Notamacropus eugenii: one gene and its partner. The protein of the gene in region 1 interacts with the protein of each later gene in a pairwise test. Links are inferred from orthologs where the notes say so. Each region holds a gene or a part of one and is shown in the gene's direction. Other genes may lie near its edges.

The links. The genes of interacting proteins can lie anywhere in the genome.
Region 2: the proteins of UBE2D4 (region 1) and DTX3 interact in binary tests that used the Homo sapiens proteins (3 or more experiments, as listed by UniProt). The link is inferred for Notamacropus eugenii from reciprocal best matches to the Homo sapiens genes UBE2D4 and DTX3.

What each region holds. Positions count from the first base shown.
Region 1 is NC_092872.1:716,918,020-716,925,250, reverse strand, and holds the start of UBE2D4 (ubiquitin-conjugating enzyme E2 D4), read left to right. Parts: upstream 1-4,211; 5' UTR 4,212-4,363; coding exon 4,364-4,387; intron 4,388-7,231. UniProt on the Homo sapiens protein: Accepts ubiquitin from the E1 complex and catalyzes its covalent attachment to other proteins. In vitro able to promote polyubiquitination using all 7 ubiquitin Lys residues, but may prefer 'Lys-11' and 'Lys-48'-linked polyubiquitination.
Region 2 is NC_092874.1:232,973,711-232,981,391, forward strand, and holds the start of DTX3 (probable E3 ubiquitin-protein ligase DTX3), read left to right. Parts: upstream 1-4,616; 5' UTR 4,617-5,100; intron 5,101-5,981; 5' UTR 5,982-6,036; intron 6,037-6,484; 5' UTR 6,485-6,546; coding exon 6,547-6,559; intron 6,560-7,367; coding exon 7,368-7,681. Other genes in the region: PIP4K2C (phosphatidylinositol 5-phosphate 4-kinase type-2 gamma), read left to right, coding at 8-111, 371-451. UniProt on the Homo sapiens protein: Regulator of Notch signaling, a signaling pathway involved in cell-cell communications that regulates a broad spectrum of cell-fate determinations.

The sequences.
Region 1 (7,231 bases):
TTATTCTAATGTTAATCATATTACTATTATCTGTTCAAGCCACCAGAAGGCGCTAAAAGCTTGCTGACTTAAGATCATTTCCACTATGTCTACAAGAGGCTCTTAGGAAACTACTGAGTAGTCTCAGATCACAGCCCACCCGGTTTCCTCTCCTCGGCCCTTATCTAGAGTACCATCAAAATTAATAAATTCATTTGGTTGCCCATTTCCTTCCTCAATTTCACATGATCTGGGAAGATTTACTTATTCAGGTATAAAGTGTATTTAGTAAAAAAAAGAACTTAAAATGTGAAAGTTCTGGGCTAAAAACCCATGGTAACTTGAGGAAGCCACAGCAGCTTAGGTTAGCCTGAATTTTTCACACCCTTGCTTGCTGCCTCTCGCTGTTTTCACTGAGACACGGACAACCCCAAAGCCTTTACACCAAGTAGTACTTGGTCTTGTACTCACAATAGATGGGGACTGAGGGAGGGAAGGGTTCATTCATCACCAGTCCATTCTCCTTGTCCTACGATATAGCTATTGCTTCTCTGGATGTTGCCTTGAACATACCGGGGCCTGGGAAAAATCTTCATTTAGAAAGGCTGAAGTCATCTATCGCCAGCTGTCTTGACTTCTGTGCTGCCACTGGATTTTGAATACTCTGAAGTAGAGAGTGAGGCTGATGACTTATGCAGCTCTGTCTCACTTAAATCCAATTCACACAGCAAATCACTCTCCAGATGTCAGTGGTCTTCTTCGAGAAAGGAGGAAAAGCAACTGACTCCTGGAACCACTCTATAGAGTGTCCTGGACACCTGCAAAGTAATCTACCTCACCCTCCCCTCCCTTCTCTCCAAAGGAAGGTAAATTTGGATAGCCAAAAGATGCCCAGTTGGTTTGGGTTTTACTGGCTAGTTTCCTTCCCTTCCCTTCTTTCTCAAAACCTTAAACCTACTGCACTCTGAAGCTGAGACACCAATGGGCCCTTGCCTAAGGGCTCTTCTGGACCCTCCAGGCTTTAGAGTGATTATCAGTAGTAACTGTTGCTGTTTCCCTCTCCCTCTGATGTCTTTCTTTCTCGAGGTCTCATTAAAGGGACCAGGCCCTGGCTACTTCTTAAACAGGCCTATTCAATGAATGGGTGTTGCCTCACCATAAGTGAGTACCTGCAAAGACTTTGGCCTAAACGGCCCAAGGTCTCCCAGTGTATCCCGGGTCATCTCCAGTCATCCTGATGAATATCTGGTCACTGGATTCAGATGGCTCTGGAGGAGAAGTGAGGCTGGTGACCTGGCATAGCCCTCCCTCACTCAAAACAAAGTCACATGCTAGTCATGTCATCATTTCTCTGAAGGCATGGTCTTTTTTGGCAAGAAGGACAAACACAAACAACCATGAATAACCTGCCCTTCAAAACTGCAACATTTTTTTTTTCCTGCATAATCTTAACAGGGAAAAATGGATCTTGAACAGAACAGAAAACTTTCAAGCATTCTTGTTGAAAATACCATGGTTGAGTATAAACTTTGAAATGGGATTGGAAATTGAGAAGTAATTAGAGGGAGCAAAATGATGATGAAATCCTTACATTCTAATTGTGTGAGAACAGACGCGTCCTACTAACTTTCAATGGTCAACATGGGAATTAAGAACCACCAACATAGAAACTAGGTGCGGTTTTGTTAGTTTTAAGAGAGGAAAAGAAAAGGGTGGGGAAAAAAAATACAAGAAAGAAATGAGGAAGAAATTCACTCTTTCACATAACTGGGGCATAGGAGAAGGGCACACAAAAATGGAGGAAGGGATGGGGGAGTGGGCTTATCATCTTTACTGGGCAAAGGTGGTTTAATGTATCTACTTAACATTTATAATTTGGTGTAGAAACAAATTAAACTCAGATACTGTTGCTCAGTTGTTTTCAGTCATGTCAGACTCTTCATGATCCCATTTGGGGTTTTCTTGGTAGAGATCCTGGAGTGGTTTGTCATTTCCTCGTCTAGCTCATTTTACAGATGAGGAAACTGAGGCAAACAGGATTACAACAACAATATTTATTAAATTAAAGGTTGGGCAAGAAGCCTTGGCTCATGGTTACTATCCTTTAAGATCAGGTAGCAAGGATATGATGGCTCACCTGAAAATGTGGGTACTGTTAAGTGGATATTACGTTTTTCAAATGACTCTCCCTTTTAAAGTCTAAGAGAACTAGACTAATGAACAAATAAGAAACTAAGAACAGTGTGGGATTCCACCTGTGATCACAGATAGACTCTGCTCCCTGCTTTTAACTTGGGAAGTAGTGGGCCTTCAGTACACTTTGAGCACTATTTCTATCAATCCTGCCCTAGTCTTTCTCTTTACCCCAGTTCTAATCCTTTAGCATTTCTGTCTTAGCTCCCCTCTACTTTGATCAATAGACATTTATTCAAACAGCAAGCACTTATTGAGTTTTATAGTGTGCAAAGCACTGTGTTAAGCACGGGGCTCTGTCCTAGGTTTTAGAGAGGGACAGGAACATAGGATGTAATTCAGAGTTTTAATCTGTATTTGATCTGTTTCTTTGAACAGCTTATTCCCCATACCTGGAATGCTCTCCTTCCACAGAGATGGGATGTAGAATGGTAAATTGTGGAAACAGCAAGTAGACCCATGTAGTTGAAATGTAGGTACATGAAGGGGAATCCCCAACTTGGGGACCCTCCCCTTTCATTTCCCTTTTATGGGCTCTTTCCCCCTTGGAATGTAAGGTACTTGAGGGCAGGGTCTGCCTTTTTGCTTGTATTTCTATCCCCAGTGTTTAGCATAGTACTTGGCACCTAGTAATTTCAACCCCCTCATTTGACAGATGAGGAAACTGAGGCACAGGCAGGTTAAGTGATTTACCTGAGATCACCCAGCTGGTAAGTATCTGAGGCAAGATTTAGTGTAGGTCTTCCTGGCAAGTCTCCCACTCTATTCACTCAAAAGTGAGGAAGGGAAGGATGGTTTGGGGCAGGGAGACAGCCTACTTCTTTGAATTCCACAGCCCTTGCTGGGCCCTGGAGAAGCAGCAGAAACCCAAGAGGTGACTGCATCCAGTATCTCTCTTCTAGCCCCACATCTCTGTGGATCCCACATTGACCAGCCCCAGCTTCCTTATCCTCTTTATATACCTTCCCAGTCCACTTTCACCACCTTTCCCTCTTTTTCCATTCCAGTCTACCCCTCTATCCCAGTTCATTCTCTCCAGCATCTTCATCTTCCTTTTCTTCAGTTCAGCATTTAATTTCACAAACTGGGTCCTTTCTACCTTTCCCATCTTCTTGTACTTTGCTCCTCTGGGGTGGGGTACTGTACAATTGACACCAGCCTTCTAGTTCACTCTAAGCAAAGCCTTTTTCAGTGTCCCCTATACAGGAATGCCCCGTCCCCCTCCTATCAAGACTCAAAATCCCATCTTCTTCGATCCTTTCCCAATCTCCCCTCCTACTAGTGCCTCTCCCCCTCAGATGACTATTTTCCATGTAATAATAACAACTATTATTTAAATAACACTTAAAGATTTGCAATGCTTTACAAATATTGTCTCATTTTATCTTCACAACAGCAATGGATGATAGATTCTGTAATCTCCCCATTTTTATAGGTGGGGAAAAGGAAACACTCGGAGGTTAAGTGACGCATCTAGCGTCACCCAGCTAGTCAGATGTCTGAGGGAGGACAAAACCCTGATCTCCTTGACTCCAATTCCTTTGCTCCCTAGGTATTCTTACAGAAATGGCTGTTTGCCTGTTGCTTCCCTTGTTAGACTTTCAGCGCTAGGACTGTTTCATTTACTTTCTTTGTACCCCCAGAGCTTAGCACCCCTGGCTAAGCTGGCACTTAATAAATGCCTTTTGAATGACTGAGGGAGCTCCCTCTACTTGGAGAGGAAGGGATGCAAACAGCCGGCGGTCAGTCCCGGACGCTGGCCAGCCACTCATCCTCCCCTAAGATTTGAAGCTGGAAGGGTTCCCAGAGGTCATCTCCACCAGTCTGGCTCCTCATTCAACAGATGAGGAAACTGAGGCTCTGAGAAGTGATCTGCCCAAGTGTATGAAAAGTGTTTGGCAGAGAGAGGCCTGGCCATCAAGGGAGGGGCAGAAGAGCACCAGCCCAGGGTCTCCCTCCTCTAGGGAGATCACTTCGTAAAAAGGCTTTTGCTCGGTACCCCAATCCCAAGCCTGACTAAAAAGAACTACAACTCCCACAGTGCCCCGCGGCCGGCCCGCGCTGCGCACGCGCCACCAGCCGAGCTCCTCCCCTTGCAGAGAGCTGCGAGGCGGCCGAGCCTAGCTGTGCTGCCTCCCGTGGCCGTCCCTCGGCCCCGGGGCTGAGTCGTGGTCCTGCAGCGGGTCGTAGGATGGCGTTGAAGCGGATCCAGAAGGTAAGCCTCCCGCTTCCCCTCATCCTTGGCGAGAGTCCGGAGACGGAGGAGCCGCAGGCGTCGGCTCCACCGCTACACAGAGAGCCACGGCAGGAGGCGGCGCCGCGCGCAGGCGCGGGAAAACTTGTGGCACCTGCCAGGGAGTGAGGCGGCGCCTCGTGCGCCCACTGCCTTACAAGGGAACAGCACGGGGCGGGGGCGGGGCCACGCCGGGGCGCGGGGTCTCGGGGTGGGCGGGGCGGGGCCTGGGCGGAGCTAGAGGCGCCGCCGGCCAACCACGTGCTCCTTTGTGTGTTTCCCTTTCTGCTGGCCGGCTGTTGGCGTGAGGGGCGTGTCCCATTCTCACTTTTTCTCCTGTTCTTGCGCCGCCCCCTCTGCCCCCTAATAGCCCAAGAAAACTAGCAGTCGTCCACCCCCAGGCTCCCCGCCCCAGTGCCAGGCACACAGTAGGTGCTTAATTAATGCCTGTCACCTCTCCCCCTTCCTTTATGGTTATAGATGCGGAGCTGGAAAGGACCTTAGCAGCCTGATAATTAGATTCAACCCATTTTAAAGATGAAGAAACAGGGTAGATTTAGAGCTGGAAAGGACCTGAGAGCTTAATTCAGGTGGGGAAACTGAGGCTCAGAAGTTAAGTGATCGCCCCTCTGCATCTTGGGAGCATAGATTTGAGCTGGGAAGGAAGGACCTTGGAGGTTATCTGGTTCAAGTCCAGGGTCCATCATGGATAGACCTGAGCCCAGTTCCTTCCTGAAATCTGCTGGCCTTCCCACCACCCACTGTGCCTGAAAAGTTACTTAGACTAATTTCTGCCCTTTGAATTCTGTTTCCTCCACATGCCCAAAACTGACTTTCACCTTTTTACCTCCATTAAGGGCTGAAGTTTCCCTGCTGTCCCGACTGTAGCTCTAACAGCTCCTGGTAAATAGTTCATCAGTCTTCTAGGACCATTGGGAGCATTTAGAACTGGCCTGAGATTACTTCCCATTTACACAGTGTCTGTCTTGTGTGTCCACCTAGTATACCTAAGCACAGTTGTTTGCCTGTTTGTCTCCCCATTTAGACTGTGATGAGCTACTTTTAGTTTCTCTTTTATGCTTTGTGTGCCAGGGCACGTTATTGAAGTACTTAATAAAGGTTTGTTGACTGACGGGGTGGTTATCCTAGAGATCATTTAATGCTCGCTGTTCTTCAACTCCCTGCCAAAACTTGGTATGTAGGCTCTTCCAAACTATTAAAACTTAAAACCACACTAAGACTTTTGGGACATACTAATATTATGCATTTATTTGTCAGGGTTCCAGTTGTCCCCCTCCCCCAATACCTGGCTTGCACTGGGCACTTAATAAATGTTTGGTGAATTAAATAGTTCACCTTCATAATTCTGATGAAGAAAACAAGGGCCAAGAAATGAAAAATGACTTGTCCAGGTCATGCAGTGGGCAGATTTCAAATCCAGGGCCATTTCTTTGTAGGATGCATTCTGCTTGTTCCCATAGGCTGTTTGTGATCGCTGCAGACTTGCATGTTGGCCAGTTCCAGAATGGTTGCCACTTCTTATTGTGGTCCAGAACTGTGATTTTATTGGTGTGTAGGAAACTTCCTGTAAGGAAATGCAGATCTCGGAAACCACTGTAAGGTGAAGGGCCCTAACCCATACTCTGTCTCTTACACACACATGTACACACACACATACGCACACACACACACTTTCAGAGGCAGGACTCAGAGGCCAGTCCTTTCTTTATGACACCTCTCTGCCTTTCTAATTCTTCTGCTTCAGTCTTGTTAAGTTCTTTTGGGATTAAGGCTTTTTGGTACCCATTAGTTTGGCCCTCTGCCATACTGTGCAGAGTAGAGATTGCCTCCATCTTGGAGTTAGGATCATAAAATTACTTAGGGCTTTGGAAGGGACCCTAAGAAGTCTTCTAGTAGAACCTCCTTGTTTTACCAGAGAGGTTAAGTAGCTTGACTAGGGCCACAACCCTCCAGTTCTTTTTTCATGGGCTCTTCTTTCTTGATTTCTTGATTTCTCTTAGAACATATCTTTGTTTTCCTCCTTGTTACCAAATTCCATTTGGACTTCCTTACCCATTCACTTCCTGTGCAATTCCTCATAGTTTCTTTGGGATGCTTTTGATAGATAACCTTTTGACTGTACCTGTTTTACCTATACAGCTCAAATAATTTTGTGCCCTCATTTCTTCCTAAGGCTTGCTTATTAAGCTAACCTTGATGAATTTGTCTTGGTTCCATCTCAGACTGGGTGTGCAATCCAACTTTCTTCTGGGTTACCTTTGTTTGCATGGTGATCATCTATTCCAGTGGGTTATATCAGCATACTGCTTCTACTTCGTCCCTAGATATCCATATTTCTGTACGTGTGCGTTCATGCACTTAATGCATATCTGTGTCTTTGTATATTCTGTGTATTTACTTACTGATATCCTTGTTGTGCCATGTCCCACTTGTGAATGTCAGTTCTTTGATGATAAGGATTGTTGGTCTTTGGTCATTGAGGCAAACCCTCTTATCTTACAGATGAGGCAAGGGAGGTGAAGTGATTTGTACAAAGTCACACAGAAATAACAAAGACAAGATTTCCATGCAGGTCCTCTGACTTCAAACTTGATGCACTTTCTACTGTACCAGGCATATGTGTTCAGGTACATACATATGTACCTCTGTGTGTGTATGTGTGCGTGCTTGTGCCTGAGAATATAAATACAAAAAACATTCGTAGATTTGTCCCAATTCTGTAGCATAAAAGCAGATGTTTTGTTACAGATTATGTTCATGTCATAATTATCCAGAGTAACTTTTCTCAGCGTAACTTGTGCATAA
Region 2 (7,681 bases), on another chromosome or scaffold:
CTCTCAGGGGCCCCCCAGAAGGAAGTATATTTCATGGGCCTCATTGACATCCTGACCCAGTATGATGCCAAGAAGAAGGCGGCTCATGCAGCAAAGACTGTCAAGCATGGCGTGAGTGTTCCCCATAGGCTCATGTGCTCTACTGGCTCCTATCCCCACATTAGGGCTCAGAAACAATTGTTAGGGGGAGAGCTTCAGCTCTCTTTGGGAATCTTTTGTAATGACCAGGGGTTGGGGAGAGGGATTAAAGAAATGAATGTGGAAATCAGAGGAAGGATTTGGGGTGAAGGAGCAATCCACCCCTAGATCCACCCTCAATCCTGTCTTTGTTTTTCAGTTCTCTTTGTTTCTCAATTCTCTCTTTCCACAGGCTGGGGCAGAGATCTCTACTGTTCATCCTGATCAATATGCCAAGCGGTTCCTAGATTTCATCACCAACATCTTTGCCTAGGAGACTAACTGGCACTCCATGATATCTCCTTAGATTGGGTGGGGGAGGAAAGAGTGACAGGGCTATAGGGGGAAGACTGAAGGAGTTACAGGTGTCCTCTTCCTTAGCTAAGTCCAGGTTGCCTCTCCCCGCTCCCAGAGTGATGTCCTCCCTGCTTCTTGTCCTACCCACACCAGCCCCAGAGTCAGCTTCATTAGGGTTTTACTGAGGATTTTTTTTTCACTCCCAAGTGCCTTGATCTTTGTAAAATGTCGTTTTATTTTTGTAAAATAGGAGGAGCTGAATTGGTTGGGGGGAGGGGTATCTTCTGACCCTGGCAGGACCAATGACTGGTTCCGGATGTTGCTCTGGCCTGGAAAGCTTGAGCCTAAGCATGGCTTGAACTTTGCTGTTTAACTTTATTGGAGGCATAGAGGCTCACTCTTCACTCTTCCAACATTCCCTCATGTACCTGGGGCAGATGGGGATGCAGCAGTGTGCATAAAGTGGTGTAGCCAGTCTTGCTCATTGAAGTGGAGGGGTGTGTGGAAGATGCAGCCAGCAGGTTGGCTTCTCACTGGGTTGGGGACTTGAGGGATTACTTGGCTTTGTCAGGGACTTTGAATGGTTTCCTAGCCCCAGTGTCCTGAGAACCTAAGTCTTTTAGCATTCTCTCTGTCTAGGCCCGAGTTGGGGTTGGTGTTTGGTTGCTGCTGCTGGATACCAGAGCCTCTGTCCCTACCTGGGACTGGGACCATTTCTTTAGGCATTTAGGTGGCTAGTCTGGGAGACTGGGGTAAAGAAAGATTCTGGAGCTAAAAGCTCACTATATTTAATATTACTTTCTTTTTGTCTACTTACTTTTGGGTATTGTTCCAGGGACAGGGGAATTCCTCAACCTGGACCAAACCTGGTTATTTTTGGGGTGAATTGAACTCAGCACCATTCCTTCTTCCTCTCTCCCTTCAGCTTTGTCATCAGCCTGCCCCCTTTCAACTTGCCTTGTGCTGTTGTTATATCTCCCAGAAATAGGTGACATTGTCCTCCTTATTCCCTACCTCCTGAGAGGAATCAGCCATAACTGTCCCTCCCTGAATTATATAGGAGTAGTATATCTAACTGGGGGTTGAGGGGCATGAGCATAGGGGAAAGGGCTATAGACTCACTTTGGAGTTGAGACAATCACTCCTTCCCAGGTTTCTCCAGTATTGTCCAAGGTTATGGGTCAGTGCAGTACTCCCTGTGTGGCTGGACTGTTCTGTCAATAAGAGATAGCCCTGTGAATGTTTTCTCCCACCTACTCCCTTGCTCCCACTTTTATTCTTCAGGAGGAGGAAACTGAAGTTGTGTGTGTGTGTGTGTGTGTGTGTGTGTATGTGTGTGTGTGTGTTATGGCTACCTGATTTGTGTGTGTGTGTGGTATGTGTGACATCTAATATGTGCCTCCCTCTTATCCCTCCTCTAGGGGCCTGGTTGAATTTACTCCTTCCCCCTATCTTTCCCCTGTCTAAATGCAATAAAATTTAGGACACCTGCAACTGCCTTTCTCTAGAAATTGGTTTTCTGACCATGTAGCTGATGCATCAGGGGCAGTATGGGTGTCTTCATTTGTTGCAATTTTTTTTTTAAAGAAAAGAAAAAATAATAATCTTGCATATTCCCATTGCTGTCTCAACATAGAAGTAAATTATTAAACCTGAACTGGTCCCTCTTTGTGCTTTGTGTATTTTTGAGATTCACTGTGGCATGGGAGTACTAGACATGGAGTAAATAGACACTGCCTGGATGGGAATCCCATATTACAAATTTAGTAGTGTATATTTTTAGCCAAATAACTTAATCTCTCTAATCTTCCTTATCTGTGAAATGGGTATAATGCCTTTAATCCTTCACAAGGTTGTCAAAGGGATCAAATGAGACTAAAGTGCTTTGGAAACCCTAAAATACTATAAAAAAGCTGTTATTGAGTGTTGGGGTTCAGAATAAGGAAGAACGGGGAGCTGAAAAGTCTAGCAGCAAAACTGTGGTGCCCTAAACCTGGAGACTATGTTTTGAGGATGAGTGATGATGATCCTTAAAGGAAAATGGAATATTTGGGGAAGGGGAGAGGAGAAGAAAAAGTCTTGGGTTGCCTGAGGTTTTTGTTTTTTGCCTTAGGAATATAATAGATTATATTTGAAGAGGAAAAGAGAAGTATCTCTCAACTATGAGAACTTTGAAGTGCCAGATATTGAACTTGGAGGTTAACCTCCTCTGGGATCTTGATTTCTTGGAACACATAGCCCTTCAATAAAATGCATGTGTCCTTTCAGCAGAGAAGCTGAGTAGGAAGCAAGCTTCTTGGGAAGAAATCTTCTGACTGCAAGGGAGAGAGTGGGTGAGGGGAAGGGATACAGCTGGGTCCTGGGAAAGCATGCTGGAGAAAAATCAGTCATCTAGTCCCAGGGGTGGGAAGAATGAATTGATAGTGCTCTCCCAACAGTCCCCTGGGATTTCCAAAAGCCTCCTTATTAAATTCCTCTTTGGCTGCTGGGAAAGAAAAAAAACAGTTAAAAAAAAAAAAAGACTTGTAGATGAGGCCCTAGGGTGAACAAAAGGGTACAAGGTTTTAATCTGGAATGCAGCACAGATTTGGATTAGGCTGGGTATTTTGGGAGGAGTATTAGAAGGGCTGAGCAGCAAATGAACTTTGAATCCCCTTTTTCAGGGCACCTTGATAACATTCTACTTCCTCATTTTCCCTTTCTGTTAATGTGTGGGCTAAAGAATTTGTAAATTCAAAGTTGGGCTCTGACTTTGGCATTTGGAGATGGGTGAGGATTATTGTTGGAGGGGACTTCAATTTGAGAGCAATACAGGGTTATTTTAAGAGTCATGGTATAATTAGGAAAGTGTTGACCTCAGCACCTGGAGAACTGGACTTGAATTCCCCAGGTAGATGTTTACTAACTGAGTGGCCGTGAAAAAGACTCTTCCTTGAGTAGGACCAGGAGAACACTAACATAAAGACTTAAGAATTCTGATGTTGAGAGACTCAGGAATTCTGATCAAAACCATGACCCACCATGATTACAGAGAATTGTAGATGAAATCTGCTACCCATTTCCTAGCAGAGAGGACTCAGAATGCAAATTAAGGCAATGGTTTTGACCATGTCTAATATGAGAATTTGTTTTGCTGGATTATATATGTTTTTAACAGGTTTTTTTTTTTCTTGCTTCTCAGTGGGGAGGGGGAAAGAAGTGGAAGAGGTCAGATCTCTTGGAAAAAAGTAAAATTTTTGTTTTTTGAAAAATAAAATACTAAAAATAGAAAAGTTGCTGAAATTGAAAATTCTGTTCCTTAGGCTTTTCCATTGTAAAAGAGGAATAATAATTTACCATCTACCTTGAATAATGGATATGAGCGAAGCTCTTTATAAGACTTCCAAATGCTATAGAAATGGGGTTGAGGGGTGTATTATTCTCTTAATCTATTCCACCTTTCTGCCTGCGTTCCTGTCTGGCCTGAACGCTAAAATGGGTAAATGATAAAGAGTGTCTTCCCTTCACCCAACTTCAGGATCTTAGACTCAAAAAGTTGAAAGGGACCAGCCATCTAGTCCAGTCCATTCATTTTGCCCATAAAGAACGGAGCCTCAGATAAGTCAGATGGCTTATCCTAGGTCACACGGAGAACAGGGGCGTATTTTTAATATCCATTATTCCTTCATTTCAATTTTCTGTGGCTCCATCTGCAATGAACATCCTAAAAGTGGGTAAATGGTCGAAAGGGGGCTCCTTCCACCCAATCTCATAAATCTAGGACAGAGAGCCGACGGGCATCTTCGAGATCATCTCCCTGTCAAGACCCGGGGCAGAGAAGTCAGTGACTCGCCCTGGGCCACACAGCTCAGAGGGGTCTCGGGTGGCCCTTGAACTCAGGTCATCCAATTTCCAGGTCGATTCGCTCGACCAACCCGACTCCCACAAAGCCGAGGTTGCCCGGGCTCCGTCCACCCCCACCGGCAGCCGCGCAGTGGACTGGGAAAGCAAAAAGGTGAGAAAGGTGGAAGGCGGTGCTGGGGAGGGGCACAGGTGAAGGAGGGCGGGGGGGCTTCTTCCCCGGGCTCCCAGGCTGGCTCGCCTCTCCCTCCCTCACCGCCTCCCCCAGCCCTGCCCTCGCTCCCTCCCAGCCTCCCTCCCTCGCTCCCTCCCTCCCTCACCCCTCCCCGCCCTGCCCTCGCTCCCTCCCTCCCTCGCTCCCTCCCTCCCTCACCCCTCCCCGCCCTGCCCTCGCTCCCTCCCTCCCTCGCTCCCTCCCTCCCTCACCCCTCCCCGCCCTGCCCTCGCTCCCTCCCTCCCTCACCCCTCCCTGCCCTGCCCTCGCTCCCTCCCTCCCTCTCTCCCCGCCCCCAGGAGCGTCCTCACGGAAGGAGGGCTGGGGAGGCGCAGGAAGGACGCTCCGGGATTGGAGGTGGAGCCCGAGAGGCGGCAACTGTCGCCTCCGATCTGGAGGAGGGGGCCGCTGCTGTGGGCCCCGCCTCCCCTCCTTTAGGTCCCCCCTCCCCGGTCCCCCTCCCCATCTTCATCCCTCTCCCTCCTCTCCCCCCCACCCCGTTGCTAAGGTCCGGACCGTCATCCCAGCAACAGCCTCAGTCATGTGACCGGCGATGGCGGCGCTGACGGGAGGTAGGTGAGCCCGGCGGCCCCCCCTCCCCCCAGCGCCCCCCGGACGCGGGCTCGCGCCCCTCGGACCCGACTCCCCGGAGCGCGGGGACCCTCGCCTTTCCCCACCCGCGGCGGCCGCTTCCCAGCCGGGCGTCTTCCCCTGGGCTGCGGGGTCGGGGGGATGGATGCTGGGGAGGGTGCTGCGGGGCCTCGGCGGGGCCTGCCAGCTGCGGGGCCGGGGAGGGGGCCCGGGCGTGTGCGCGCGGGGTCTGTGTGTATCCGTGTGTGCGCCGGGGCAGTCAGGGCCCGGTGTGGCGCGGGGTGAGGGCTTCGGGAAAGGGGCGATGGGGACTCGGGGATCCGGGCCCACTCCAGCAGCTTCGCTGGCCCCGCCCCAATCTGGGGGGTGGGACCGGCCCGGTAGGTCACGGACCGCCGGGCCCTTCCCTCCCCCCGACATTTCCTTAGCCAAACCAGTGTCCGGGGTTGCCCTCCGCTGTCACAGGGCTCCCAGCCTGGAGCCACCCTGCCCCAGGGTTTGGGCTAAGAGCCCTTAGGGGTAGACAGCCTCGGGGTTGGGAGGGGGATGGGAAGTGGAGGGGGGGGTGGATAGGATGGAGACACAGGCAAGGGCAGCCTTTTCTCCCAACAGAGAGGGTCAATGTTTGATTTAGCCAGAATTTAAACTTGACCCCTAGTTCAGTCCCGAGGTTCTCCTCCTAGCTGGATGAGAGATGGAGACCTGAGGAAGTACACCTGTGAGCACGAAGGGCATGCCCCAGTTTCTAGGAACTAGACCCATGTATGAATATTCCCCATCCATGATAGCCTATGCTGATGGACAGATGAGATACCTGGTCTTAAACTAGTAAGAGTGAACTATGGATATTTTTTTGTTATAGAGTCTGCTACCACTTTGTCCACATCTTCAACAGCCAGCAAGCAGGAGTGATTAAGGTTAGACCTTAGGGAGGATTTGCAGGCCTTGAGGGTATACAATTTGGGAATCAGGAGGAATTGTGAGAGCAGTGGAAGTGCAAGAACACAGAGGAAATTCCTACCTGTTTGAACTGAGGGCAAGGGGGCAGGATAATGGTTAAGACAATTGACAGATCAGTTTTTGAGACTTTTCCAATATCAGTTATTCCTCTTTTCTCGTATCTTTTCACTGAAGGAAAAAGGCCCCTGAAGTAAGGTCATAGTGTTAGGGATGAAAAGAGGTTTGAAGCTGGAGTATTGAAGTTTCAGTCTCCACAAAGCTTCTTTTGGAAAGGGGATGGAATACCAAGGGTGGGGGAAGAGAAAGGGAGATGCCGGGTGCAATTGGCTGGTGTCAAGGAGGGAGGAGAAAGGGAGGGACAGGTAAGGAAACAATTTCTATTATAACCCTATTGCCCTCACCCAGTGTTGGGGTCAAAGTCCAGCTGAGTGTGGAAACTTCCGGGATTCCTCCTGCCACCATCGTCCATGGGCTCTCCAGGTACCAGTCCTCCAAGTAATTTGATGCCTACCCATCCCTCACTGTTCCTACCCCAGGGATCTTGTTTTCAGTGCTTCAGTAACTTTGACTCTAGAAATCCCAATTCTTCCACTCCCAGGGCTGCTCAAGTACATAGGGTCTCTGAGTTAGGATGTATCCAGGAAGGTTCCCTTATTTTCTCCCCAACTCTGGACAGAGAGACTCACCACCACCACCATTAGATCAGATATTTCTAGCCCATAAGTAGGGACATAGAGAGAGAAAAGGAAAGCCAATTCTGGATATGCCAGGCTGGGAAGCCTCCCTGCCAGGGTACATGACTTTACCCTGGACAGGGAAAAAGGTAATCAGTGTAACTATAGGGGAAAGTGGGATCAATTCATATGTTTGGTTTAAATGGTAATAAATCAATTGAATCTCCCATTCTGAAAGAAGACCCTATAAGACTGCTGGGAGTTGTGGGAGGGGGGACCAGGAAGAGATACTATGCCTTGGGTTTGGGATTGAATGAAAATGAGAAGGCCATTGTACCTTGAAGCAACTTTCCTTACATTGCAATATAATCTTTCATCTTGAGGAATTACCCTAGTCTTTACTGGGAGAACTTTGGTTAGAATGCAGTAGAATGGAAGGGATGCTGAACTTTGGAGATTAAAATAAAATGGGTACTTCTTTGGTGAGAGGTGGTATTGGGTTGGGCTTTGGAATGGGGCTAATGCTAATCTCACGTAGGTAGTGGGAACTGAGAGTAGAGGCACTGGTATTTGGCAAATAGACCCTATCCTGAAGCCCTTTCATTCTGGGGCAGTGTCGTTCGTCCTGTCCAGGATGGCGGCCTGTGGGGGCAGCTGCAAGAACAAGGTGACGGTCTCAAAGCCAGTGTGGGACTTCCTGAGCAAGGAAACACCAGGGCGACTGGCCCGGCTTCGGGATGAACACCGAATATCCATCCTCATCGATGGAGAGACGTCGGACATCTATGTTCTCCAGCTTGCTCCCCAGGGCCCCCACCCAGCCCCTCCCAATAGCCTCTACCTTGCTAGAAAGGCTCTCAAGGGGCTGCTGAAGGAGGCAGAGAAGGAGCTGAAGAAGGCACAAAGGCAGGGGGAGTTGATGGGCTGC